Oreochromis niloticus: one gene and its partners. The protein of the gene in region 3 interacts with the protein of the main gene of each other region in a pairwise test. Links are inferred from orthologs where the notes say so. Each region holds a gene or a part of one and is shown on either strand. Other genes may lie near its edges. The genes, in order: cfap206, gng4, tfip11 and lats1.

Region 1 (6,941 bases), on a different chromosome or scaffold from region 3:
CTGCAGCAATGTGGATGCTTTATTGGTCTGTAAACGCAAAGCTGTTGATTTACCCGTCAATCTACATTCTCATCCTCAACTACAGTTACGAGCTCTGGGTAGGGACTAAAAGAATGAGATTGCAGATACAAGCGACAAGAATAAGCTTTCTTCAAAGGGTGGCTGGCCTCTCCCTTAGAAACAGGAGTTAAGTCATTTGAGAGGGCCTCAGAGTAGAGTTACTAATCCTCCACAACAAAACTAGCCAGCTGAGGTGGGTCAGGTATCTGGCTAGGATGCCTCCTCGGTGAGGTGTTCCAGGCATGTCCCACCAGGAGGAGACCATGGGTAGACCAATGATACGCTGAAAAGATTATGTCACCTGGATAAGCTTGAACAAGTAGCTGGTGAGAGTTAGGGCTGAGCTTCTCTGCTTAGACTGCTGCCTCTGCAAACCGAACTCAGATAAGATGAAACTAGATGGATGCTAATAATTGGTCATTGGCATTTGTAGATGTCACTCTAGAAACTAGACAGATGTTGTATAGCAAAATAAACCTAAAAAAAAATGAACAACCTCTAGCAAGCTTAACATGCATTACATACATGTATTGGTGCCACATAAAATCAGAATGAGCTTATACTTACATTTCGTGGTATAATTCATGTCAAAGTACACCTGCATTTTGATAGTGTCAAGGGATGGGCTGCACTTTTCTGTGAGTTTATCCAGACACAGCTGGAAGACATGTTGCAGAGGGAGACATTTTCACTGCTAAGCAGATGACACACAACTTTATCTATCCATGAAGCCAGATAACACACACCAATTAGTTAAACTGCAGGAATGTCTTAAAGACATAAAGACCCGGATGACCTCTAACTTTCTGCTTCTTAATTCAGATCAAATTGAGGTTATTGTACTCGGCACTGAAAATCTTAGAAATATGGTATCTAACCAGATTCTTACTCTGGATGGCATTACCTTGGCCTCCAGTAACACTGTGAGGAACCTTGGAGTCATTTTTGACCAGGATTTGTCCTTTAATGCACATATTAAACAAATATGTAGGACAGCTTTCTTCCATTTGCGCAATATCTCTAAAATTAGAAATATCCTGTCTCAGAGTGACGTTGAAAAACTAGTTGATGGATTTATTACTTCTAGGCTGGGCTACTGTAAGTCATTATTATCTAAAAACTTGCTGAAAAGCCTTCAGTTAATCCAAAATGCTGCAGCAAGAGTACTGACAGGGACTAGGAAGAGAGAGCATATTTATCCTATATTGGCTTCACTTCATTGGCTCCCTGTTAAATCCAAAATTGAATTCGAAATCCTGCTCCTCACATACAAGGTCATAAATAATTAGGCCCCATCTTATCTTAAGGACCTGATAGTACCATATCACCCCATTAGAGCACTTCGCTCTCACTGCAGGCTTACTTGTTGTTCCTAGAGTATTTAAAAGTAGAATGGGAGGGAGAGCCTTCAGTTTTCAAGGACCTCTTCTATGGAACCAGCTTCAAGTTTGGATACGGGAAGAATATAGTTAGGGCTGGATCAAGTGACCCTGAATCCTCCCTTAGTTATGCTGCAATAGGTGTAGGCTCGTGATGCATTGAGTATTTCTTCTTCAGTCACCTTTCTCACTCTCTATGTGTTAATAGACCTCTCTGCATTGAATCATACTTGTCTTAATCTCTAGCTCTCTTCCACAGCACGTCTTCAATCCTGTCTTCCTTCTCTCACCCCAACCGGTCACAACAGATGGCCGCCCCCTCCCTGAGCCTGGTTCTGCTGGAGGTTTCTTCCTGTTAAAGGGAATTTTTCCTTCCTGCTGTCGCCAAAGTGCTTGCTCATAGGGGGTCTTATGATTGTTGGGTTTTTTCTCTGTATGTGTTATTGTAGGGGCTACCTTACAATATAAAGCATCTTGAGGCGACTGTTGTTGTGATTTGGTGCAGTATGAATAAAAATAAATTGAACTGAATAGATTACCATCATTGCTTGTGTTAGTCTTACACCAAAAGCTTTCGAAGAAGGGGTGAAGTCAGATTCAGCAGTAACAAGTCTAATATATCTTAATAAAAATTTGCTTTACTGTCATTATTGAGTAAGAATAATAGTCATAAAGAGAAATCAAAAACAAGGAAAAAACAGAAACTACAGAAGTAAATGAAATAGCCACAAAAAAACAGGATCTAAAACATCAGGACTCAGAAGAGGAGAGCGCAGCTGCCACTCCCTGTTTGAAGTTGCCTCCTGTTAAAAGGAAACGTCTAACTCTTGGCCTTTCTCCCATAACCCTCACTAAATGGGGAAGAAATGCCTAATTTTGAAACAGAACAGAACTTCGACTCAAACATACACAATGATTTTCAGAACCACTAAAACCAATTAGAAAAAGAAATAAAGCAGCTCACCTCTTCGAGTTTTTGAACATCATCTTTAGTAAGGGTCCTGTCAACATTAAAGCCATTTCTTGGGTCCAGCACCACAGCAGTCACCTGTGGATGTTTGAAAACATCATGAACGTGTACAGCAGCAGCGTTAGCTCAACGACTAAGTGCTTACTTTGCTTTACCGACCATAAAAGCTGCCAGCGTGTCCGACACCGCGTCTCCCCTCAGCCTGCACTCGTGCACAATGTGCCCGATTACGGTTTTAAGCAGGCTTTCCGCACCAGCCTGAGCCATTTCTACCGGCGGACCTATGGCGGATTGTTGATAAGCAGTTGCCATAAGTAACGGTGCAAATTTGCTAAGATTCATTTCAGGTATCCACTAGAGTGCGCTACAGTTTGCTCTTCATCCTTTAAGTTCTGGGGGAAAAATACAAACAAAAAATTAAAAGCATACACACCAGAGCCAACAAGACTCGAATAACGGAATGAGCTTTTACCGTGACTCGTGTTTAGATGTTTTGGCGGCATTCAGGGTCTTTATCGCTTCAGGACACGTGGAGAGGGTGACACATGGGAGATGACCAATTAAGACTGCAGAGAAGCGGCATCGCAAGAGTCCATGCTGGTGGGCGGAGGGGGGGCCACATTTCTGTATCCATTCATATCTAATGGCATTAATGCTTCAAGATTACCAAATATATATATACAAAATTATATTTGAAGAGCCTTCCAAGTTTTTAAACATCTTTCCCATCTTTAAGGACATACCCTTAATACCCTCAATTGAAGAACAGACTTCAGTACATAGATGAAATCTCAAGTATCAGCGTTAACCTCCTAGGACCTGTCATCCACATATATGGACATCACATTTTGTGTTGTCTAGACCAAAATACTTTTAACTTTTAAAGTTATTAAGCCATAATCATCAAAATTGTAACAAAATAAGGCTTGAAATGTCTTGCTTTGGATGTGATGAGTCTATATCATATATTAGTTTCAACTTTTAAGCTGAGTTACTGAAATAAACTTTTGCACGATATTCAAATTTTCCAAGTTTCACCCGTAAGTCTTCATCCATCCTGATAGTTTTGACTGTGTACTTTAGTTGATTATTGTCATCATTAGGCCTGTCTTTACTGGATGCTGTGTATGTTTATAGGCACTGGTAATGCTACCATTAACAGATCAGTCTTGCTAGCTTGGAAGTTGTAGTGGGTTGAGCTAACACCCATTCCACCTGTTTATATTTGGTTTACTTGAAGGTCTTCTTTTACCTTTCATTATCAGACAACACAGGAACACACCGGTTTCATTTAGGCAAATATGAAAAAGCAGATCCATTTCCGTTTTAGCCTAAACATTCAGAGAAGTCTACAACTGAAACAAAGTCAGCACAGCAGGATGATGATTACAATATTTATTTATAAAAAATAAAAATAAAAAAAAATAAAATGACATGGTTCAGGAAAAACACTGCTGGACTCGGCCCAGCCTTTTAAGTACAATTAGGAGAAGAACCACACAATCCATTAGAGACTGTTCACTTCAAACTTGCCACAAACGGCAGCTCCTGCTGTCACAGTTCAGTAATTTCCACATAAGAGCAAAGCTCTAGGCCACATGACGAACCCTGTGCTTTTAGACAGTCACTTAAAAATACAAAACTCATGCAAAGTACACACACAAGTCCAAAACAACACACACACACATGGAATTCAAACTCATGCAACTGAATTTCATGCACAGAATAATAAATAATAAAAATCTTTAAGTGTTGACCAAGTCTAATAGCATGGGTTGCCACTGGGGTTTGTTTTTTTTTTGTTGTTGTTGTTGTTTTTGTTTGTTTTCAGAATTAATAGGAATTGAGCAGTTTGGCATCACTGGAACAGCGTCCACAAAAAGGATCAGTTGTGCAAGAATGCATGTAAAACACAGTGGTCCCCTACAAAACAAAACAAACAAAAAAAAACAAAAACAAAAAAAAAAAAAAAAAAAAACAACAAAAAAAAAAAAAAAAAAAAACAACAAAAAAAAAAACAACAACAACACAACCCTCACTGAAATGACACCACACTGAAAAAGATATAGAGTTCACAATGTACCAGAGCAACACGTGCAACGAGGTCTGAGAAGAACCAACAACGACCTCAGGAAAAACTCATGTACACTGCACCCATCTGATGAGTATTAGGAGCCACTCCATTCAAGGGATTCTGCACAGAAAAGAATTTTTTTTAAAAAACAAAACAAATATATTCTGTCATGTGTTATAATGACAATCTGAGTCATATTATAACGAGCCACTACAACGAAAATTTGGTATTACCTAAAGAAATCATTAAAAGTTGCATTGTGACAAATCCCTTATTGCAGAAGATTTAAGAATAAATTCTGCAGAGCTCTTAATACTCAACATTCAGTGCTCAAAGAATCACAGCAGGTTACAGCTGGACCACCATGTGTAAAACAAAGTATCATGATTCACATAAAAAGCAAAAAACCAATAAATAAGGTTTTTGACAATATCAGATTAATGGACAATTTAAAGCTGGCACATCAAAATTTCTTCATGTTTCTCAACTGCGTATTCTGGAAACAAAGACAGACATGAATTAAAGGGCAGCTTCAGTTCCAGCCCCTTAATCACAGAACATGAATATATTTAGGCTCAAGTTCTTGGGACACAGAAATTTAGAATTTAAGACACACTTAGAGGTTTTATAGTGATAGCAACAACAATAGTAAGGATGGGAACGTTTAGATCAACTTCCTTATTGCCGTGTTAGTGGGCTGTATAGGAAGTGCATAAGGTGTAAGCAGGAAACCTCCACTAAAGAACAGGGGAGAGAAAATTAAGAAAAACAAAACAAAAGATTCCACAGAGAGGGACAACGGAGGGACAACAGCTGAGTCCCGTTGGCTCAGCAGCCAGTGGCACTGTTGATGAAATGAGCCATCAACCTTTCAGTCGTTTCAGAAGCACTTCCTGAAGACTATCTGCGGTCCATACTCCTCGTATTCTTCCCGACCGATCCATGCAGAGGTAAAGGTGGGCATATTTGCCAACACTGCTCCTCCTCTCCACACTGAGGAGTCTCTATCTTTGGGGCTGGTTACACAAACACTGCCCCCCATGTCTGAGGGCAGCAGGCCTTTGATTTCATCCTGCAGTCGCTCAGGCAGGCCGGGCAGCAGAGTGTTCCCACCTTCAGGAAGAGAGGACAAAACAAATAGAAGCAGAATTTGGAAAACCATTGTACTTCAGATTGTAGTGCAACACCTTACCAAGAACCAAATGTTACCTGAAAGTACAATGTTTCCCAGGAAGCAGCGCCTCAGGTCAATGTCTGTGCTGAGGATTGACCTGTAGATGCTTTCGTGCATCCCATAATGGTCCCGTCCAATCAGCTCAGGTTTGAACAGAATCTCAGGTGCCCTAGATGAAAAGGGGGTACACTCTGCTAAAGAGTCTGTGCTATACAACAAGCAAGGTGACCGCAAGATCATTTCTAAGACTTAAGTGTTGGTAAACAGCAGGAAGCAGCCCCCCACCCCACCAGCATTACCTGAACCTCTCTGTGCCGAGGGTAATAATCTGCCCATCTGGCATGGTGTAATGCATCTCTCTGCAGGATGACTGCCCCCGACTTAGCTCATCTTCATAGTTGAGAGCGACACAGCAACACTTCTCCTTCATCTCCCTCACTATCTCCTCCTCTGCTGTGGTACGCATGCACACTCCTTGTTCCCGGAGAAGCTTAAAGCACAAGCACAGCAAGCTGGTTTTGCCTCATCTTTAAACTAAATTAGGAACCATCCAGGGATTATGCCTTCCAAGCAATCAATAACATAGCTCCTACACTGGGCATTAACAGAAGTGCTGAATACCTTTTTAAGATGCAGTGTAACATCTAATCCAGCCAGGGGAAAGCGTTGCACAGCATGAGGTAGACAGTATCCCTCAAACACAGGTACACTGTGGCTCACTCCATCCCCAGAGTCAAACACCACACCTATATCAAATACACACAAGTAGGATCATAGGATCAGATTTGAGTGGTTTAAATACACCAAGCTGAACAAAGTCTTCAGACAAGCCATCATCCGTGTGCATCAATCAGTGCGTGAAGACGAGCGACTACAGTACCAGTGGTTCTTCCTGCTGCGTAGAGCGCTAGCACTGCTTGCATGGCTACATAGGTGAAAGGCACGTTGAAACACTCAAACATGATCTCAACCGCGTGCTGCCGATTCTTCAGGGGGTTCATGGCTGCTTCAGTCAAAAGAACTGGGTGATCTTCTGGTTCCACGCGCAGCTGCTGGAACGTATGATGCCAGATCTAAGAGACAAAAAGTCAAGCACCAAGAGTAAATGAGCTTTTGAACAACCACCAATACTTTATTTCTCTTGAGGGAAGCATGTTAATGGGTGGGGAAGTTGCAAAGTGGGTGAGCTCTCAAAACACAGACATTCAAACTAGACTAATCCACAGGGACAAATAGGCCTGCAGCTGCCCTCTGAGCCTCAGGAACATATTCCTGCCTGTGAAG
Region 2 (7,634 bases), on a different chromosome or scaffold from region 3:
GGTTCTTAAGTGCTGACAAGGCAGGGAAACCGTCTTCTTGGGACGCCAACTTCACCGACTTTCTCTGACATCCTCCATTATCAGAAACGTTGTCTTCAATTTGGATATTGTACTAGAGCTCACTCCAAATAATGCTGCATCTTGGTTCTGCAGAACACCAGCTTGAAGTTGTCCTACAGCGCAAGCACTAAATCAGTCAAACGTGGCATGTTTGGATTGGACACCAACTGACCGCTGCAGCAGGGTCCATTAGCTTGCCAAGTTGGCAAGTTTTTCATGGGCGCAACCCACAAATGCACTTTCCTTACAAGTGGGACCATTTAAGGAGAAATAAACAAGATTTACAACGGTATAACATTTATTCCCAAGAGGCTTTTTGTTACAACAAAAAGAAATTGACCAAAGACAAATTTCCTTACTTTTTGTGCCAGGTTTATTTTGATCTACCTCAATACATCTGACAGCAAGCCAATTCAACCCCACTGTGGAAATGAGGATTCATTTAAAAATTAAATAAATAACATTCAAACAGCTGGGCACTGTAGTGTTTACCAACGGTGATTCAAACAGGAGTAATTAGTGCATTAATAAAGGATGCAGATTTAGTGCACGAGTGAGTATTTTAAACACGAGGAAAAGCCCATGCAGTGTGGCTAATCGATGCATTTTTCCCAGTTTTTGGACGACGGCACCATCAGCTCAGCCATTTCTTCTTTTAAACAGTGCTACTGTGTGCAAATATGAAGCCATGAGAGCCAAGCGTGATAATGTTGCCAATTGTAGGCAGCAAAGTTAATTTTGTGCTTTATTCAGACAAAAATGAGCAAAAATGAAATGCTTGCTGAGAACTGTCACTCATCGAGACGCGCCTATTGAACTGCTCCAAAATCCCAGCCGATGTTAGAGGCACACAAAGCTTTCAATTCCATGATAAGTGGAGGTACGGTTTTTGAGTAATTGCAGACTTGGTAACAGAAGTGATGTGAAAATATTTGTTCACGTGCGCAGACAATAACAACAATAAAGCTTTGTACCTTTATCCTATCCATGCAGGCCTCCATCTTCAGTTGCTCCACAGCTTTCCTGGCTTGGGAGATGCTGGCCGTGCTGTTGTTGGCGATGCCGTCCTTCATGGTGCTCCTGTGACGCCAAACAGATGCAAGGGGAGAGGGGGGGGGAAGAGAGTCAGTGAACGTCACATTAAATCAGCAGCCCCCCCCAGGCGAGAGCTCTACCCTGATGGAGCAGCAATTCTCTAGTACAACCTCACCCCTTCCTTTTTACACAGTAAAACTTGGAAGGACCCATTTTGTTTGTCCATTTATTATCTGAAGAAGCTGCTCTGTGGGCATCAGCTGGACAGCAGTTTGTCATTTTTCAGCCAGCACTCATGCATGATTGTTTTTCCTTCCTTTGTCACGTTATTCTTTAGACCAACTGGCTGGGGGAGAAGTTAGCAAGGAGTGCAGTGCTGGCAGGGATTAAGACACTAACACACACACACACACACACACACACACACACACACACACACACCTAGTGCTTTGCTCAAGTGCACTTCAGCAGGAGTTTATGCTGGTACACCTAGAAAAGCAAAGCACCTGCAGCTTTTCCCCAGTTCCTCCCAGGATCTGCAGATCTTTCCACTGCTGGCCTTCCTCCTCTCAACTTTCACCTCAGGAGTGCATCAGCTGCAGCTCTGCAGATCAATCCCCGCAATCACTAAATCTTACTCCCATTTTAGCCTCCTTGAGCCACCCCCACCCACCCAGTCACCACTGAAATGTCCCAGTTTGGCAGCAACGGCAGAAATATGTCCACAGATGTGTTTTCTAATAATTTGCCTTAAGAAATGAAGCATTTCACTGGAGGTGAGGGGTTGCTGAATCAATCCCCCTTTCTATGATAATATGCATTATTATTATTGCGCATCGATTCTTGATTAAAATCACAAAAAAAAATGTGTTTATCTTAAAGCAGACGGTCGAAGACGACAAATTCATCTGCCATCCCTCCAGCCTCCACAGCTCGACGGCCAATTTATAGCTTTTAAATCACACCCTCGTAGGAAGCCATCGGGCCTTCTCCGTTTAGGTTTGCTTTGGATGCATCCATCCTGAGGGTTGCTCGGCTGTATTCGCCCCTTTGCAGTTTTATCCAAATGCAACGATGCTGCTAATTGCTGATGCAGATCTGTGAAAACGCGGGCGACTATTTATTTCTAAGAGGAGATTAATCTGTGGACACACAGCGAGCTGCGGCCCTGGTTAGAGCAGAAAACAGCAAACCATGCATCATGTGGGGGGGAAAAAAAGGAGCAGCAATGATTTTTGCACTGATGATAAACATTTTGAAATAAATCCCTGCATTGGTCGGATACGCGCTCATTAATGTAGCCTGCAGCGGCCGACCTACCTGAAATGTGCCAGTGGTTTTCCAATTTGGGAGAATTCCGGGTTGACTCCACCCAACACACACAGACACACACACAGAGACGCGCGCACACACAAAGATCTGTCAAATATGAAACGATAAGAGGAAATCCCAGCCTAGCTTCGGTCTGGACGGAACCCGAGGAGCCAAAAATCTCGGCGTCTTTAAATGTCGCCTCGGCGGCTCGCTCAGTGCGTATTCCGTGTAGGAAGATGAGCTCCAAGCGGTGAGGTCTTGGTGAGCACCACGGCTGGACTTGGAGAGATGTTACGCAGCAGCAGCAGGGGGGGAAACCTCTGTATGACGATCAGATACAGGCTGTGGGGCGGGGAGCACTCGATCAGTGGACCAGGAGCAGCAGCAGCAGAGAGCCGGGATGAGCTTCAGCTGTCCAGAGTGGCCGTAAACGCACCGACGCTGCCTGTTAGTCAAATTAGGAGCGGCTGTTTCTAATTAGCTTTATTGCTGCAGAAGGCAGCGCAGGTCTGCAGGCTTTCCCCGTTTCGTTTATCATTTTATTTTCTATCAGCGTTGACATCACCGTGTCCCCCTGATGGCCTCACCCTTAACGACTGCACGCGCTCTTAAGCGTGGCTTGCATCCTGATAACTTTTAAAAATTTTAATTTGTTTTTCCTGTTCGTGCTTCCGATCTGATTTATGCAGTACGACACGAGTTTCTGCTTACTTTATGTCCCTGAACGCAACCCCTCCCCCCCCAACACACACGCACACAAAGAAATGGACACAATCAAATCGATGGAGGAATATTTCTTCAAATATTTATAGATTTTTATATATTTATAATATGCTTATCACTTGGTTCATTCAAACACGCACACACATACAAACAAAACTAAACATTAGGAACCTTCAAGATGCCAAAACTGCAAAAAAGAAAAAAAAAGAAAGAAAACTAGCAGGAGGGGCCAAAATACAACTTAAGCAACCTAAAACGATGATCTTAAATTATGCATAGCTTTAAGTCATTAACAGAAAAATATTTCCTTCCGTCAGAAAATCTCCTGTCACATTTTCTACCTGCTTTTCTTTTACATTAAAAAACAACAACAAAAAAACATCCATACAAACATACATTTGGGTTGAGAGGTTGTGGTTCACAAAGTTTTTTCATACATTTCACAGAGGAAATGTTCATACAGGAACAATCAGTAAACAAACACAGTAACATGTCCACGTAGGATCAGGAAGAAAAATAAATCAGGTCGATGAAGCGAAAAGGAATGAGTTAACAAGAAATAATCCCTTTCTCAAGTAAGTGTATGACGTTAGTCGTCACCGGGCGCTGCAGTCACCACAAAAGGGAAAAAAAACTAATTGTTTCACAGCTGTCTTAGAAAAAGAAACGAAATGAACCCTGGTTTCTTCCCACATGAAACAAGGTAGCAAAAACATGACCTATTGCATGTCTGTGTCTGATATTGCTTTCTGGATTTGATTTATTAGTGGAATTAAATCAAGCTCAGTTCGTGTTAAGGCCACAGATCATTGGCTCTACTTAAACTGAAGTAGCTGAGGGGGAAAAAAAAAAAAAGTGCTTCTGATTCTCGTTTAAGAAACCGTTAAGTGCAGTAACGTAAGTGGGAATGTAAAGAAAAGCTACATGGATCCTGGAGTGAGTTAAGAAAAAGAAACAGCTGCTCGGCCGTTTCCCAGACCGATGCATGTAGTGTATATGATATCAGCCGACGCAACGCTCTTTACTAAACACTCCCACACCCACTGCACCCTTTTAGTAATGCTGCACAGGTGCTAAGTAAGTGTGGGAGATCAGTGAGGATCACGGAGCATTCAGGAAATCACTCTCTCCTCCGCCTTCTTCCTCCTCCGACCGCAAGTATCTAACACAGTTTGTTAATTGCTTTCTCAAAAAAAAAAAAAAAAAAAAAAAAAAAAAATCAGCCCTGTAAAGTAGTGAAAAGTGGTTCTTGTGCATTTAAGCGACGGGTAAGACAGAGATGAGCCTCCATGGTGTTTTTAAAGAGCAAATGGACTGGTTTAACCAAGGGAGGCCTTAAAACAAGGAGCATCATTGCAGCAAATGTCACATCCACATTCACACAGTCAAGGGCAGCATCATCCTAGCATGCAAAAGCAGGACAGAACAACAGGCACCCACAAGGTCCCCTCGGTCCGTCCACTGAGGTCAGACACAAAGTGAAGCAGGTTCGTGACTCTAGTGTTCAGATCTGAGTGGAGCAGACAGCGCGGCGGAGGGACGTCTCACTCCTGCAGAGCGGGACCTCTCCTGGCGACAGACGCGAGGAGGGGGCTCCCCTCCCTCGCAGCCACTGCAGCGTCAGCAGGACGCGCTCACTGAGCTGGGGCGGCGATCTGTCAGACCGCACGCTGCAGGAGACGTGAGCGATGTCGAGGTGAGACACGAGGGTCTTCACACTTTGAGTCTGGCTTTGTCCAGACCATAGCAGCTTACCAGGAAACGGCTAAATCAACACCAGCCAACAAAAACACATCAGCAGGAATTAAAGACTCGACAAATGAAACGCACTCTCAGAAATACATCCTGTATAAAGTGTCTGATGCAGCCTCAGCCAAATACTCAACCATTCCTGCAAGAGTCCATTTTAATGTATTTATAAATATATACTTATGTACATATAATACTATTTTCAGAATCATTTCTTGATGCTGGGAATGGCGGCGGTAGAGTTTGCTCTGCTGGGGATGGCTTTATTTAAAAGTCAGGGAGGGTTCAGAGAGTTTGAGGACATGCTGACATGTCCTCCTCTCTATCAGTGCAGACAAGAGGAGGAAGAGGAGGAGGAGGAGGGGAGGTCCTCTTGCTGAGAAGTGGACAGGAGCAAACATCACACAAACACTCATCCTGCAGCATAGCTGCTCAGGAAGGAGTAGAACATGGGCAGCTTCATGCGCTGCTGGTCCCGTCGACACCACGCCATCACCGTGCCCTCGCTGTTGGCCGTGTAGAGGTGGTGGCCATCACACGAGTACGTCAGGCTGAGGCAGACACAAGAGGAGACCGTTAAACTTAAAATGCTGACGAGCATACAGGCGTGGCATAAAAGTACAAAGAGAACAGCGTGCTGTAAACAAACCTGATGATGGGCTTGCTAGACTTGGGAAATGTGATCTCTCTCACTGGTTTCAAATCCCAGGTGCTCCATAACCTGAAAACATATCAGAGATTAAAAAAATAAAAAATAAACCGTGCAGGGAGCGGGATGTCAAACTCATTTTACATCGTGGGCCACACGCAAGCCCAGTGGGCCAGACAAGTGAAACTCCTGTCAATCCAAAGAAATTTAACTACACATTTAATTCCTGGGATCTCTTAATATGAGAAAACCAGCAGTGCAGTTTCAACAAGACATCTGGGATTTTCTACATGACAGAAATTCTGCTGCAGTAAAAGAAATCTGCCAGCACGACTCTTTGGGCTTAAATCATAAGAAATAAATGTGTAAAATTACAATGTTCCTGTAGCTCTTTGCTCAGACTCAGAAAATTTCCTATTTTATTCTCCTTTTTTAAAAAACCTTCAGAGCTATTGTAACATAAATAAATAAATTCTATAGCAGAGAGTGAAAAACAGGAACTTTCTGTCATGTAACATTTACTTATTTACAGTTAGATCCATAAATATTTGTACAGAGACCACTTTATTCTAATTTTGTTTGTAACATCATCACAATGATTTTTAAATGAAACAACTCAGATGCAGTTGAAGTGCAGACTTTCAGCTTTAATCCAGCGGGCTGAACAAAAAGATTGCATAAAAATGTGAAGAACTAAAGTATTTTTAACACAATCCCTTCATTTCAGGAGCTCAAAAGTAATTGGACAAACTAAATAACTGAAAATAAAATGTTCATTCCTATAACTATATAACTTCTATGACTATATTTGAAATATGTTTCAGTAAACGTAAAAAAACAAGCTTGTGTTTGTGTCCATATTTATATGGACCTAACTGTATTAATTAGTTTGGTGAGTGACCATGGAGTGGATCTATATGAGAAGGAAAAGCTGAAGTCCAAAAGTTATTCCCTCCTCCGCAATTTCCAAAGCTGTCTAGTGGAACAGGACACAAATGTAACGGCAAAAGAAAAGTTTTGCCTACCTGACGACGCCATTCTCCAGCCCACCAGCGATAACATTGACAGACACGCCCTCCGGCTGGTTGGAGAAAGCCAGAGAACAGATGATCTCTCTGCAGTGGACATGCCCAATCAGGTCCCCGTTCACCGTCCACAGGCGAAGGTCGCTGCCTCCTCCCTCTGGAAACAAAAGAAGCAGAGCCATAACTCACACCAAGGACAAGAAGACACTTCAATAACCAGAAGATGAGACACGATAAACACTCGGGTTATAAAAGAAGACGCCCGCCCCCTCATACCTGAGTCACACACTGTTGCGATGTCCCCCGTGGTCTCGCTGGCAGACACAGCCATCACCGGGCTTTTGTGGCCTGTGAGACTCTGTACATAACAGAGTCTGGAAAACACAGAAGAGCTCAGCAACCACACAAACATTGCATAATGCATTTTCTTCTTCAACAAAACAAAACAAAACATAAAAACCTTTCAAACACACTGACCTGTTCAGGTCCCAGAGGATGCAGGTGCCATCATTGCTCACACTGATGAGGATGCTGTAGGGTTTGCAGACAAACAGGCTGGTGACTTCCCCCGTGTGCCCGTACAGGTGAACCTGAGATTCCACCTCCATCTCTGATGGCTATGTAGGGAAATACATGTTAGAGACCACACAGAGAAGCAATACAGATCCAAATGTATCTGTGACTCGTATATATCGCATCTTGCTTTTAATGTTTCCTAAAAATCTCCATTAATTAAACTCAAATTGCCCATCGGTAGCTGCTGGAAGTCCCTTTAGAGACAAAAATGGCAAATCCACATGTCTACTGGTGGGGACTGACAAGGTCTGAAAGCTTCTCTGATGACTGAACTCTGAGACCTCTAATCCCACTTATGGGCTCGGTGGAAATGTGTTTCAAGGGCAGCTGTGATGTGACTAATGAAGCTGAGCGTTTGAGCGCAGTGAGGCTGCCTAAAGAAGAGGGGGGGGGGGGGGGGGTGTAATCGGCGGTGGTGGGCGGTTTGGGTGTTCGTGTGGAGGCGGAAGGTTAGAGGGGGACGTCGCCATGGAAACGCACCGTGGTGCTGGTGAAGCGGTTGC
Region 3 (7,800 bases):
ATGGAAAACGCTCCACTAATGCCAGCACAGCTTCCATTCTCTGGATGGCATCTTGCTCCGTATCCAGTCTGTTCTGCAAGGCTCTCGACTCGTGGCTCAGAGAAACAACAACGTCTTTTTCATGCTGCAGACGTCTGGCAGACTATACCGGGGTTATATGAAAAAAGAAAGAGATTAAAAAAATAAATAATAAAAATCTGCTAAATTATAAAGGAAGCCCCAGTTTGCTGATCTAATAAGAAGGTATTTCAGTTATAGTCAAATATATTTGGAAAAACAATTTTGGTATCCTCATACCTGTATTATGTCCTGTTCTGTAAGGTCTATCAACAGTTGAAGGTTATGTTCAAGCTCAGGGAGCGCAAAGCCTGATCCCTTCTGATCCCGAGTAGACATGCTTGGTGGACCTTCATCAGGAACGCTGTGCTTGTTGGATATCTGACTGTAACTGTAGTACACCTTCTGCTCTCTTCCAGTCATGTCTATCACCTAGGCACCGGGGGCAGGTACGGGGTAAAAAAGGTTAAAAAAACAACAAAAAAACAAACAATAATAGCAGAGTGCATGTGCTTACATAGATACACCAAACAACTTCACCCATAGAGTCTAATACTGACTACAATTAACTTTAGCTGCTAAAGTTTGCTGTAAAAAACAACCATGCCACAGTGCCCTTATAACACACCTCTGAGAAAGGACAAAAAAGCACTAATACCTTGACCTGTGCCAGCTCCCCAGCAGATGCCGCTGTAGCCCGCCCCGCCACTTTGCCTTTAGCTCTGAGCTCATCTGCAGTTCTGTAGGAGTACTTCGGTTTCTTCTTTCCTCCCGACCCTGCAGGATCCTTACGCCACTGGCCCAGCTCCTTCTGAAACTCCTACATCAGCACAAATTTAGATTAATGTAAAAAAAAAAAGAAAAAAAAAAAGACTTTACAATTCAACATCTGCTTACTTGTAGAAAAAGGAAAAGCCAAATTTTGTCCACACTTTACCTTTTCCTCCTCTTCATCAGAGTCCACCACAGGAAAATCTTGGAGAGACTGCGGAGTTCGCTCGTTTCCATAGGCTCCGACTGCCCCCTTTCCCTTACGAACCTTTGCTTCAATAGGGTTTACAATACCTGCAGCAATGAGAGCATGGAAGAACAAAGTAGATCAGCTCTAAAATACACACAATACTCTTAAATACTTCAATATTGTTGCCTCCTCAGCCATTCCTACCTTGAGCATTCTTTCCCAGGCCTTTTCCTGGTTGGTAGCCCATTTTCTGCAGTAGTTTCTGCCCAATTCCCCTAGTGTGCTTCTCCCAGCTGCCAATGCCTTGTCCAGACTGTATGCCACCTGCAAACCTCTGTGACTGATTCCCACGGAAATTACCCTAGCAAAACAACTCAGCATGTAATTGTTCCTATAAACTTCTTTGAGATATTTATGTGCAATATACACACAAACAAATCACACATAACCAAATTTACCATTTGGAGTTTTTTGGGTGCACGAGAAGGTGGAGGAGCTGCAGGACCATCATCATCAGAGTCGTCAGAGCCTCCTTCCCCTTTCAGCTGTTTCTCCTCTGCTCCCGTCTTTCGCAGACCAGCACTCACAAAGCTCACTGGGACAGTGTAGTCTTTAGATCTAGCAATAAAAACACAGACAGCAAACTCAATCTCCTACTAATGGCCGACTTTAAAGCTGTGGGCAACAGCAAAAACAAACCCACGCCTCACCTCTTGCCACCAAAGCTGGGCCTCTCATCTTCGTCTGAATCCCTGTCAGCCCAGATGCCGTAAGTGGCCTGTTCCTTGGTCTGCCTGTGCCTGTGGCGGTCTGGGTTGAACTCATTGGCCAGGTCCCAGTCTGTCACCTCAAAGCTCTCAACCTCAACACCCTCCTCCTCCTCATCTCTCCGCCCATATAGGTGTGACATGGACATCTCTGGAGATCATAATGAACAAAATCACAATTTAAAGAAATGTAAGTAATTTCAAATAAATTTGCTCTACTCGTTTAAAGGTTAGGTAAAGACCTTTGACATGGGATCAGAATAATAAAATACATCCATCTCCATAGCAACAGATCAAACTCAATCTACTGTTGAAAGCAATGAGTTGTAGCTCAGAGCACAGGGAAAAACAAAGTCAAATACATTATAATAAAACATAATATTTTCGAGCTATAACATTTTTCTTCTTCCAACTGCTCTCTTTAGAGGTCGCAACAGCAGATCCTCTAACCCTGTCCCTAACATCCTCCTCTAGCACAGCAACACTCTGCATGTCCTCCTTCACTTCCTCTATGAACCTCCTCTGTGGTCTTCCTCTTTTCCTCCTGCCTGGCAGCTCTATATCTTGCATTCCATATCAAACCACTATCCCTCCTCGTCGTTACTTTTACACCCATCTCTCTCTCTCATTCTCTCACATGTCCTCTGTTCTCCAGAGCACACCTCCAGCTGTCCAGGCTCTCTTTCACCTGCTCCCTACTCTAACTACAGACCACAACGTTGTCTGAGAACATCCTATCTGAACTAATCTGTCAGCCTGTCCACACTTTGAGGCTCTATTGCTGCAGATTCCAGATCAGCAACAGTGTCGCAAAAATTAGATCAGTATAAATTTAAAGAAAATTTTTATTTTATAGAGACACGTCTTAAACACACACATCACTATCTCAAATATTTGGTTCGTTAGTTGACACTAACGACACCGAACAAATTCATCTCTGTGGAGAAAACACAATGTAAGCTAACGATAACTAGCTATAGCTAAGGTTAGTTACCCTCTACAGCATAAATGTCTTGCTATACGTAATAATCTCGAGTGTTGACAAGCAGTGTAAACACCGTGTTCTCTAACGCACCTGAACAGTTATATAAAGGTCTGCGTGGAGATCAATTGGACATGCTTTCGTTCAAAAACGATGAGAAGTAATCCACACTAACGCCAATAGCCTCTTCGTTTAGTGCACGACAACACAAGTACTTCCGGTATGATGGTGTTACACCAAAATCTGTACCCCTCTAAAAAATTTCGTTGGTTCTTAGTAATGACTGTTGGCATAGATAGGGCAAAGATGCGTTTATCTCATTTATTTTGTGAAGTAATGTTCGTTTCAGTAGTAAATAATAATAATAATAATAATAATAATAAAAACACGGTATATAAACTCAGTTTAGTTTTTTCCCCCAGGTTAGTAGAAATTCATATTACATCATCCTATTAGTTTAAGAAAGGTTCATATGTTAAATATATCAACTACATTTCAAAATGTATTTATGTGTTTATTTATTTAGAAAAAATGTGCCTACCCACTTTCAGAATATTATTTCGCAGTAACTTGAGGCAATATTTGAACATGAATACCTAAAATTATTAAAGATAAAAGTCTCACTGACTTCTCTTACTATAAAAGTGAATCAGGATCTGTAATTTGGGACACACTGGTTAAATAAAATATTAAATAAGTACATACAAACATACATAAAACCACCCTCCAAAGTCCTATATGAGAATGTATTAATAAACAAAATTAGCTAAAAACAACGGGGCAATTTCTAGTTTGCTTCACAATAATATACATAATTATATATAATAATATTTAAAATAAATACAAAAAATTAATGTCGCAGTTTCTTTAAATCAACCGAGCTGTGCATTATTTGTAAAGTAATTTAATGACCGCACACCACCACCAGGTGGATATTATTTGATGGACTACAAATTTGGCGTAACGCCGGAAGAGGAAACGCGTGTTACACCCAAAATATTCCCACATGTTGGTCACTTGTCTACTGAAGAAAAAAAAATGCTTTTCGTTCTTTGATAACTGGACGAGTATTTTTTTTTTAATGATATGCTGGGGTATTGGTGCTAAGTTAGCATAAATGTCGGACACCGGAGGGGAGTGGCGGGTGGCTCGGCGACGAAAAGGTGCGTCGAGGAGCTCAAAGTCTCTTCAGGTGTCTGCAGCATGCGGGCAGGAGCCGCTGGACGTCGGGAAAACTGTTAAACGCATCAGAGACACCGTGTATGAAATTAAAGTGTAGCTCAGCAGCAACACCTCGGACGTCTCATCTTCACCACAGTCCCATAACTCTGCTTTTATTTCACCTCTGCAGGTCTGAACTAAGATGCAAAGAGTTTTGGCAAGATTGGAAGGGTAGGTTTTGCTTTGAAAGTTGGGGTTACCACCAAACATCTGGCTTGCAGCTGTGTGTGTGATTGTCTTTCTGCCTTTAGAGCAGCTCTTGGTGGCGGCATCAGCATCTCTCTCAAAATCTCCAGCGGACAAGGACGCTGAGGACCAGCCGGAGCGGATAACCAAGACATGCCAGCAGCTGGAGTGTGTGTGTTATGGTCTCGGTCCGTTTGCCTCCTGTGTCTCAGCCCGCTACCAGCTTGCCATGTTGCTTCTTCTACTGGAAGCAGGACAGGTCAGGGGAGGCTTCATCCTCAGTTAGATGACAAACATTCACACCAGACCCTGCTTGTTATACATATTATGTTTCTCCCTGTTAATATCTCTTCAGATTCCTCTAAAGGACTGCTCTGTCTATGATCCAGTCTTCTCCTCTGGAGAGAGAGATGTTCTGAGAGACCTGGGTCTGACTGTACTCTCAGAAAATGAGGTCAGTTGTTGCTCCCTCATGTTTTTTTTTGTCCTGGTAATTAAGTCAAACACTGTTAATAGGCATATACTAAAGAGAACTGTGTCATATAGTACATAAAACTTTACAGTTCTTTCAAATTTCAACTATATTATTATTTATTATCCATTTTATATTGAAAATGGGGACTACAACATTGTTTAGGGGAGTAGACTGTGCAAACAGTGTGTGATCCTGTGTGTCTGTATTGTTCAGGAGGGGAAACGTTTGGTAGAAAAACCCACATTTTTTTACCTTATGCATTGTGGGAAAGCCCTCTACAACAACCTTCTGTGGAAGAACTGGAGTGCACGGGGTCTCCCTCTGATGATAATCATCGGAAACAGCTTCACTGGGATGAGGGAGAGGTTTGTACGAGAAGACACGTGCACGATGGAGTCAACGTTTAAGCAAGAGCAGTGGAGATGAAGTTGACATCTGTCTGTTTCCCCAACAGGACGATCGAGAAAGAGTTTAAGCGAGATTACAGCTACATCAGTAAGGCTGTGGATTTTAGTGTGGAGAGAAAGCTCGCATGCCCATCTCATCTGATAGACGTCTTCAATGACACAGCAGTCATCACATTTCCTTCCAACAGCCTTAACGGTCTCCCACAGTCTACCTGGGCAGAGTCACCTGAGCCACAGTACCAGCACAGCCCTGATTTGGAGATTATACTGAAGGAAACTCGGAGCTGAGGCAGGAGATGGATATGGGACGTTTTTTATTGACTGTTGTCATTCATATGACAATTTTTTTTTTTTTTTTTAATGGACCTGTTGTACTTTTACTTAATTATATATGGTGACAATGATGGGTTTTCATATTAAACACTGACCACGTTTCAGAGTTTTCCAGTGAGCTAAAACCTCAGGGATCAGACTGCCCTAAACTCGCTGTTTAAGACCATCAGGGAACCTTAATTTGGTCAGTTCCAGATGTAAGGGACAGAAGCCCCTCCCACTTACTGTTCAAACCCTCTGTTTGTAAGCAGAAGCCAATCAAAAGAAAGCTGGCATAAAATGGAGGAGAGCTAAAACAGCTTCTTTACAAACAGTGACAAATTGAGGGACTGGGCATGAAGGCCCACTATAAAATGAGGATTATTTTGAACTGTGGACCATGCGATCTATTCAAGAAAAGCACAAGAATTAAATTGTTGAATAACAAATCCTGCTCATAAAGTCTGACTTTATTCAGCTGTAACAAATTCTTTAATAGAACTGTAACATTTTATGTATCTGGTCCTGAATTAGCCACGATACAACCAAAGTATGCAAAAGAGCATATCTGAACACACAATGTTGAAGCAGGTGAGATTCAGCAGCAGAAGACCACACCGGCTGTCACTCTTGTCAGCTAAGAACAGGTAACTGAGGCTACAATTCACATGGAAAGTGATTTGCATGGATCCGTCCTGCCTTACATCTAGAATTCAGGCTCGTAGTGTTGTTTGGGAGATTTTGACACTTATTTGGCTCTTTAGTGCAAACTGGGCATTATTTAAACACCACAGTGCCCATCTTCTGATGGCTGCTTCAAGCAAAATAACATGTCACAAAGCTCAAATTATAAACTGGTTTCTTGAATACTGTAACTCAATTGGTCTCCACAGTCAGATGTTCAAAACAAAACAAAAACCCACATCCCACCAAGAAGCAAACACACATTAGCATGTTACAAAAATGTAACTTTATCAACTCTACAAATTTTTTATTTATATTCACATGAATGGAAATTCTCATAGGGTTGAACTGTTACATTGGTAATTTAAGTATATAAAGACAATAAGTTGTATTTCTTATGTTTGAACCAGTCAGATTCAACTTTTATATAGAATAGCAAGATTTTATAAAAGCTAACCCTTTTTATTTTACAGTCTTCTACCTTCCAGTGCTTCAGCTCACCTGTGTACAAATAGAACTTCAAATTTGGTCGGTTTATTAGGACACATGCATCCTGATTTACAGATGAATAGAGTTGATACCTTTAAAATTCACATTAACATGATATAAAGTCATGTCATGTAAGTGCATTTAAAAAAAAAAAAACAAAACAAAACCTGAAGGCACACTTTTTAATACACAAGGTAAAAAGTTTATTATTGAAAAACAAAACAAAAAGGTTAAACCCTCTTAGAGTCAGTACTAGGGTAAAATCTTCAGCATAAAGTAATACTCATTCTGTCCTTCTTGTTCATTGGATCAAATTTCATCAGGAAATACTGGAAGAGCTTTTAATCTTACAGCAGTGACTTTGGAAAACTCGATTACAACTCTTTGTTTGCTTCGTGATCATTCTTCAGCTGTTCCATCGGCAGTGCTGCCATCTCCTTCTCCATTTACGGCTGTAGCTTTGCCTCTGGACTTTGAAACAACATCTGCCCAGCTCACGCCACTTCTCAGGGCCGATGGGCTTGCAGGGACGTCCATCCTTCCATTTATTTCGCCTGAGCTTGACTCCATCTCATCATTTACCGTGTTGACCTTATCAGAGGCCGCTTTGTCACCTTCTGCACTGGTTTTCTCCTTTTGCTGGTTTTGCTTAGCTGGCTCAATCACATGACCATTAGCTGAAACCTTCCCAGTGCTCTCCAGAGATCCTTCTACTTGTTGGTCCTGCTGGCACTTGCTTGTATCCTCTGCTGCTGCTGGGTTTCCCCCACCCTCTGGTTCCTTCCCACATCCCGTTTCTCGATCTGAACGTTTCCCTCCTTCATTCACAGCCACTGAGCCGACATTAGGTAGTTTAAGTCCCAGCTCTTTCACCACTGCAGCCTTTAGCTCCAGATGCTTCTGCTTATACTCCTGGAACCTATTGCTGTGAAAACAGTCATGTCATAAGTGGGTTTATACATAAGAAATGCTAATACTGAAGTAAGCCACATACAATCCAACTAGAATTTAAAACATCATTTCTAAAGTCCATTTTTGGGTCCATTCTTGAGACGTGCATTGTCACATTGCTTTAACACTGGGTATGCCATCCCACTATGAATATTTACCTCTGTGTAATGTTCCTGATCCCCGTAACAAGAACCATCTGCTCCAGAATAATGTCGGATGTTGGACTGAGACACTGGGGGAAATTGAGAACAATGGGGTTTAGCATGCTTTACTTTTTCCTTTGAAAGAGAGAGTCACGTATGCTCTCA
Region 4 (6,996 bases), on a different chromosome or scaffold from region 3:
TTTCTTTGATCATACCGTCAGGAAAAGCCACTTCTCTCAGCCCAATTGAGGCATCTGAACCTTGCCTCAGTCACCTAGCCAGATACTTTAATAATTTCAACCAATTATTCTGCTGCCTCAGATTCTCTTAGAGTGGATGGTTGACTTCCAAGTGGCTCTTTACCTTGCTTAACTGCGTGTTGCCTTTCTCCCTCAATGAACTCGTATGTCCCCTTTCAATTAATGTGTCACACCTTCAAAATGCCCTCAATTTCACAACTGTGTGAATGAACCTGGGAATCCTTTTGACACAAGTTTTATAAAGGATTTGTATTAAACATTTGTCAGTGACTCACACGCAATCCTTTACTCCAGGGCATGGTGGATAAAGACTTGCATAAATGAGAACTTTTAGGGTTTGCTTTTTGTAATAACTAGGCAATACAGACGCCCTATAAACTGCTTATTTACTAAACAAAGACAATATTTTCATCCTTAAAATGTGTCACAACCACCACTCAGAATAAAAACCCAAAACCTTCCAGTCAACTTTTTCCCTTCAGTGATGCAGTGACTCATGCTGTGTGTCAACAGCACAGTTATTTCTTAAAGCAAATGTCCCAAATCCCTCAAACAATATTGAGGCTGGATGGATGATAAAACAGGAGAAGCAACAGTTAATCCCAGAGGACTGACATACCTGGGGGTTTGAGGCCTGCAGAGCTGGGGTTGGAAACAACCTTACCCATGTAGTCTGTAGCCGGCCCTACACCGTGACTGACGCTTGGCTTAAGAGGGAAAAAGAAATTGAACACAATTTTTTTTTAGAACTGAGCAATAAAAGAGGAATAAGACACAAATAGGCCTATAGTGACATCTTTAATTCACTGTTTTGTTCTGTCCAACAGTTGAATAGCAATCTATAAACAAACACAGAAAATCCTCCTGTACTGATACTACAGAGACAAGAACAATGGCAAAAAAAACACAAGAGCAAAGATTTGTGTTGACTGATGATGAGGTGGAACTAAAACCACAGACTGGGAGTAGTTGGAAAGAGAACATGGTGACATATTAGATCTGCATCTAGAGCATTTCCAGAGTAAGTTGTGCAAATGGAATGACTGCAATGAAAAAAGAAAAAGAAAAAGAAAAAAAGAAAAAGAAAAAGTTCTTCACTTTTAACTTGTGCCAAGTCACACAACTGGCAACATTTTCAGGCGTCTGTCCTTAACTTTGAGTAATTTGCTAACACATAAAAACAACAAGCAGACAAACAGAACCAGTCACACAACCTCTTTAACTGCAGGGCTTATTAATTATGGCAAAAATCATAATCACAGGTGCTTTAGTTAATACTGACATCATAAATAGTAGTTTTATGTCAGTTATCTTATTTTAATGACCTGTGAAAGCCAAAATTGTAGCTTAAATGAACAAATTTACATCAACTATGACATACTTTGACTAAAGGACTACATACCAAATTCATACCTGGATTGCATGCACTTACTCAAAACAAGTTGTAAATGCCAACTGAGAAACAAATTCTTTACTCTGAACTGTACAAGCTTGTAATTCCACTTTGCATGCCTCTCATTTTCTAAATAATTTCACTCAAAACAATCTGTTCCCAGCGATTACCCTCAATTACAGAGATATGCACAGAACGTCATACCTCCACAATCATTCAAAACAATCCCTAACTATATCTAAAAACAGTCAAAGGAGCTTGCAAAGAAAAGCGTCTGGACTTCTTTAAGTTGCTTGAAGACCTTTCACCTCTCATCCGAGAAGCTTCTTCAGTTCTTCAGTTAACTTAAAGAAGTCCAGACGCTTTTCTTTGCAAGCTCCTTTGACTACGATGACCTGGATGACTGAGAACCTTCACAGATATATCTAAAAACATTTCTCACCTCCTCGAGCCCTGCAAAACGGGGTTCCCGCTGGAAGCCTGAAGTGTTGGGCTCATTTTTAAAAGGCATGAGGGCCTCACGGATCTCCTGTAAGGTTTTGTGGTGAGGGTTTTTCGGGTTGCTGCTGCGACCCAGTTGCCTTGAATCCTCTGGGAGCATCTTCCCTTGTGCACCAGTGTCCACTTTAGGTGGGTCTGACGGTTTCGACAGGTTGCGCAGGCTGTTCCGTATTTCCTGCAGCATCTGTTGGCTGTTGCCACTGTAGTTCGTGACGGGAAACGTTTTGGGTCTCCTCTGCCGGTATCCTTCGGGTTTCTCCCCTCTTTTCATGTACGAGCATGTAGGATGACGATGAAGAGGGATGAAGAGGATTTCACCAGTCCAGAGTTGCAGTGATAGCACAGGATCTTTGATGTCTGAGCTCACATCTGCATGCTGCAGCTGGAAAAATATAGAGTGGATGTTATCCATGAGAATGTGAGTGTACTACTTTACAGATAAACATAAAATATGGGAATTAGTAGTAGCCAATAGCTAAAACAGAACTGGATCTCGTTGCTTTTTATTTTATTTACAAGCTAAACTGTGGTGTATAAAACTTAAACCTTCAGACGAAACCGTTTTCCATTACAAATCAATAACTCACCCACTTGCTAGCGCTATTAGCACTGTTCGCTAACAGAGTGCTGCTCTAACGCGAACGATCCTGCGTCAGATACTAGCATAAAATGCCAAATACATCCGACAAATTCGCCATTAAAATCACAACTACCTAACGATCCGTAAGCTTCTGCCATCGTAAGTTTTCTCTGTGTTAAATCCAGCGGCTCAGCAGTGCCTCCGCGGCCTGTGTGCTAAAGGCATCCATTTGCTTCTAGGCTAATTCAACAACAGGATGCGAACTAGCCTGTTAGCTCGAAGCACAACTAACAACAGTTAGACAACTTACCAGAACCCTCAGCTGCCGTTTTTCCGCCACAATTTCCTTCTTTCAATGGGTAAAGACTATTGCTTGACGTTCCTCGGTGACAAGGACGCAGTTTTAGCTCAAAACGTCCTTGTTGTGCCGTGCTGACTGGCTAGTCGTGTAGGATTCCTGGGATGTCTGAATGACAAGTACAACAGCTCCAAGCTATAAATAAAGCTAACGAAGAATACTTCCGTTTTTCAAAATAAAGTTCCGTTAATGTAAAAGACCTTTTTTTTTTTTTTTTCAATTGAGTTTAATTTCCCAGTGCATGGAAACTCGTTTAAACCACTGAAGAAAAAAGCATGTAAGTCAAAATTTCGCGTTATTATTTTGAAATTTAGATTTAATAACTTGACTTATTGATTACTGACGCCAAATTTCGATACTTCTCAATAAGTTAAAATTTTTAGATACATAACTCGAAATTCTGAGATAATCACTCCAAATATCATGGCATTATGTATTTATTTATTTAATATAACTAAGTAATTATTTATCGATTTTTTACGTTTTTATTGGCTTGGGTATTCGTTTGAGGTTTCCTTTTATTTTAGCACAGGGGCACTTGACATGGGAAAGATTTAAGATGGCCTGAAAATCCATTACAATACACACACAACATTATGCAAAGAAATTTTGGAGCCATGTAAAAATAGTTTTAGTAACCCTTAATTTAGGAGTGTTGAATATAGTGAGCCAGCAAAAGACGATCGAGCCCACTGGACACCTTTGGAAGATGTGAAGGAGGGCATACATTTTGGACTTTTAACTATATTTTCATACATTTTAAATGCATAATTGACTAGGAACTTTAACTTTTAAAGCAGGCCTGGAAATAGCCCTGGGAAAACTGTAATCTAGATGCTGAGTTAGAGCTGAAGTTGATCTTCTAAGAACGTAATGAAAAGATGAGTGATCAACTTTGAATTTCTGTATTTATTAAAAAAAGAAAAAGAGAGAAAACAGCTCAAATGAGGCTTGAGACATTTCTATTAAGTATTTTTATTTTATAACTGTATTAAACGTCATCTGTACAAAAACCATTGTTGGGTTGAACAATTCTGTCCGTGATGAAAAAGACAAATAAACAAATAAAGCCAACAGCCTCATCATCCAGTATTTTACACCTCCTGTATGACCCTCAAGCTGACACCAAATAAACATCTTCATCCACATCCAGTCTGAGGCACTAACATCGCTTTTAAACCGGGACCTGTCTGTTGACAAAAATAGCCTCTCCATCGGTGCCGCACACGAGACACGGACCGAGCACGTCCAGGCTGTTGACGGACAGCGTCTGGCTGGGCAGCATGTGAGTCGTCTCCAGGCGGCCTTTGCTGGAGTCTCCACTTAGCCAGGCACTGATCAGGGACTGGTTTCCTCCGGCTGGAGCCATTGCACTGCGGGAGACCATGCTGCTGTTTCTGCCCCCTAAAAATACAAAAACACTTATTACATTATGAACACAGAGGAATTAATACTATACTCTTATTTTATTAAGAAATAGTTTCCTGAGGAAATTTACAGGCCAACTTGTTAACTCCTGGCTGATTGAGTGTGAGACAGTGAACAGTATTGGCTGTAACTCTTGCCATTTGTACAGGTGTTCCACAAGGATCTATTCTTGGTCCTCTTTTATTTGCTCTGTACATAAATGAGGAGGCAGAGTGGGATGTCTACCAACTGGAAGGTTGGTGGTTCAGTCCCTGGCTACTCCAGTCCGCATGCTGAAGTATCCTTGGGCAAGATACCGAACTGTGAATTGCCCCCGATGTACCAATCAGAGTGTGTGTGTGCACAAATATTAGACAAGGTGCTTAGGTATTGGAAAAAAGCACATGTATGGATGTTTCTGTGTGATTGGGTGAATGATGCTTGTAGTAAAAAGCGCTTCGAGTGCTCATTCAGAGTGGAATAGCCTTATATAGCCACCAGTCCATTTACAACAATTAAAACTCCTTTTGGGCACACTGCTGCTGGAGTACAGCTTTGAATGACAGCGGCGAGCTTTTTCTTTGGCTCAAAATGTCATTCTGAAGGAAATTAAATTAGTTGGTAAATAGTGTAAAAAAAAATCATATTTATACCACAAAGCTGACTTGCCTTGTAAGAAGGAAGGCATGTCTGAATGGGAGGATGTCTCCCAGTGCAGCAGCGAGCCATCCTCTGAACATGTGAACAGGTGATCTGGGTTGGTTGGGTGAAAGTGGACCTCCCACACTGTCAGGAAAACCAAAGACATACGTATGAAACCATTATTTACGCGCACAACATCTTTGAATTTACGTTTTAATACATCTTCCCACAATAAGCCGACTTTACTTTCAGCCGTATGTGCCTCCATCAGTGAGAAGGGCGTGTTGCCTTGTCTCACATCCCACACACAGAGCATGCCATCCTGGCCTCCTGTGGCCACGATGTGCTGCTGGTTCGGATGTCTGTCCACGCAGTGTAAAGGAACTCGATCCCCTGACCTGGATGAACAGAAATCAACTCATCAGACTTGCTTATAATTGAAATAAACAGGAAGGAGAAAACAAAAAACTTTGTAGAATGCATTTTTTTAGAGCTCTTACAGGGACAGAATCTGTGATGGTGAGTTGCTTTGCTGTCTGAAGTCCCACAGTTTGAGCTGACCGATTGAGTTCACCGTCAAAATCTCTGTGGTCCTCAGATAAGTCACTGCATGGATTGTGCTGCTGTCGGCATTCTCTGTCAAAGGTTAAACAGTCCAATAAAGATCTTAGTTTCAACTTGTTTCACAGAACTTAAAAATAAACTCTGCTTCTTGAGCTCACCGATGACTCGAACCACTCCCTCCTGGTCAGCTCTGAAGACGATGATCCTACCATCTTCACCCACTGTAACAATTTCCGGGCTGCTGCACACGACGCTGGTGCAGGGAGCGTTGTCACAGGGATAACGATGTGCTCTCGCCCAGAGCTGAGACACCGAAATGGTCTGTAGGCAAGAGAATTGAAACAAGAAGTGAATCCAATGAATCCAGCATCCCACTGAGCAGTCTGTCTCATTCCCCTCCTGAATAAGGCTTCACTAAAACTTATCGTAATTTAGTTTGATGACATGGCCGAGGTTGTCACCCTATGTAAGGAGCTGGTCCACTGTAGTTTCTTGCTTGAATCTTTGTGTTAAGTATTTTATACACAAATGTCTGGTTTCATACTTTTATTGTGAAGACGCTGAAGAAAGGTTCAGTTAAACTACTTTTTACTGCTAAGCAAGACAAATTCCCTCCCACTGTAGATAAACTCTGCAAGTCTACACTTTGTTATCTCTAGTCAAGGGTTAAGAGTGAGGTCCAGTTCAGTTTACTGGTCTAGTCTGGTTCGTTACAACATATTCCTGTTTTGCACAAGACTGACTTTATAGATCATTAAATACCAATTATACAACCGTGTTAATTTCCTGATATTTTAGTTTAAATATATTTCGTTTAAAAATAAAAGCTCAGAGTAGAATCACCACTGCTTTGTGTCGATCTGATCAGGATCATTTTGGAGGTTTTCGCGACACGCACGACCGGGAGGGGACCCTGGGATAGACCCAAAACTCGCGGGCCAGTTTGTTAGGTACACCTGTTCAACTGCTCGCTACAACAAAAAGAAGAACCTGCCAGTAACATGGCTACAACTCAGTGCATGCATGTAATCATGGTCCTCCTGAATTTCAAACTGATTATCAGAATGGGGAAGAAACATGATGTGGTTGTCATGGTGTCAGACAGGCTAGTTTGAGTATTTCAGAAACTGCTGGTCTACTGGCATTTTCTTGCACAACCATCTCTGGGGTTTAAAGAGTATGGTCTTAAAAAGATAAAATATCCAGTGAATTACTGTCAGCTGAAGACAGGAAACTGAGGCTACAGTAAACATGGGCTCAACAAAACTGGGCAACAGAAGATTGGGAAAAACATCACCTATTCTGATGAGTCTCGATTTCGGCTGCAGCATGCACAAGGTAAGGTCAGAATTTGGTGTAAAGAATGTAAAAGCACAGAGCCATCCTTCCTTGTATCAACAGGTCAAGCTGCTGGTTGAGTAATGGTCTCCAAAGTCACCAGATCTCAACCCAATAGAGCATCTTTGGGATGTGGTGGAACTAGACATTCAG

Evidence for each region.
Region 1: the proteins of tfip11 (region 3) and cfap206 interact in binary tests that used the Homo sapiens proteins (3 or more experiments, as listed by UniProt). The two-hybrid records come from large-scale screens. The link is inferred for Oreochromis niloticus from reciprocal best matches to the Homo sapiens genes TFIP11 and CFAP206.
Region 2: the proteins of tfip11 (region 3) and gng4 interact in a two-hybrid assay, tested with the Homo sapiens proteins (2 studies listed by BioGRID and IntAct). The two-hybrid records come from large-scale screens. The link is inferred for Oreochromis niloticus from reciprocal best matches to the Homo sapiens genes TFIP11 and GNG4.
Region 4: the proteins of tfip11 (region 3) and lats1 interact in a two-hybrid assay, tested with the Homo sapiens proteins (2 studies listed by BioGRID and IntAct). The two-hybrid records come from large-scale screens. The link is inferred for Oreochromis niloticus from reciprocal best matches to the Homo sapiens genes TFIP11 and LATS1.

What each region holds. Positions count from the first base shown.
Region 1 is NC_031980.2:28,784,640-28,791,580, forward strand, and holds the start of cfap206 (cilia- and flagella-associated protein 206), read right to left. Parts: upstream 3,016-6,941; 5' UTR 2,913-3,015; coding exon 2,843-2,912; intron 2,802-2,842; exon of another isoform or gene 2,752-2,801; coding exon of another isoform or gene 2,691-2,751; coding exon 2,569-2,690; intron 2,488-2,568; coding exon 2,404-2,487; intron 719-2,403; coding exon 628-718; intron 1-627. Other genes in the region: uncharacterized protein LOC100698705, read right to left, coding at 5,364-5,596, 5,693-5,826, 5,957-6,147, 6,279-6,403, 6,538-6,730. UniProt on the Homo sapiens protein: Essential for sperm motility and is involved in the regulation of the beating frequency of motile cilia on the epithelial cells of the respiratory tract. Required for the establishment of radial spokes in sperm flagella.
Region 2 is NC_031978.2:23,724,640-23,732,273, forward strand, and holds the start of gng4 (guanine nucleotide-binding protein G(I)/G(S)/G(O) subunit gamma-4), read right to left. Parts: upstream 3,012-7,634; 5' UTR 2,416-3,011; intron 1,141-2,415; 5' UTR 1,134-1,140; coding exon 1,035-1,133; intron 1-1,034. UniProt on the Homo sapiens protein: Guanine nucleotide-binding proteins (G proteins) are involved as a modulator or transducer in various transmembrane signaling systems.
Region 3 is NC_031977.2:17,583,286-17,591,085, forward strand, and holds the start of tfip11 (tuftelin-interacting protein 11), read right to left. Parts: upstream 3,007-7,800; 5' UTR 2,861-3,006; intron 1,937-2,860; 5' UTR 1,935-1,936; coding exon 1,729-1,934; intron 1,637-1,728; coding exon 1,477-1,636; intron 1,380-1,476; coding exon 1,223-1,379; intron 1,123-1,222; coding exon 995-1,122; intron 878-994; coding exon 716-877; intron 490-715; coding exon 298-489; intron 143-297; coding exon 1-142. Other genes in the region: srrd (SRR1-like protein), read left to right, coding at 3,885-4,027, 4,119-4,159, 4,240-4,433, 4,530-4,628, 4,863-5,014, 5,104-5,344; si:ch211-166a6.5 (clustered mitochondria protein homolog), read right to left, coding at 6,941-7,466, 7,651-7,724. UniProt on the Homo sapiens protein: Involved in pre-mRNA splicing, specifically in spliceosome disassembly during late-stage splicing events. Intron turnover seems to proceed through reactions in two lariat-intron associated complexes termed Intron Large (IL) and Intron Small (IS).
Region 4 is NC_031980.2:17,320,871-17,327,866, reverse strand, and holds the start of lats1 (serine/threonine-protein kinase LATS1), read right to left. Parts: upstream 3,022-6,996; 5' UTR 2,845-3,021; intron 2,337-2,844; 5' UTR 2,226-2,336; coding exon 1,896-2,225; intron 768-1,895; coding exon 680-767; intron 1-679. Other genes in the region: nucleoporin Nup43, read right to left, coding at 4,067-4,296, 4,969-5,085, 5,188-5,339, 5,442-5,577, 5,664-5,826. UniProt on the Homo sapiens protein: Negative regulator of YAP1 in the Hippo signaling pathway that plays a pivotal role in organ size control and tumor suppression by restricting proliferation and promoting apoptosis.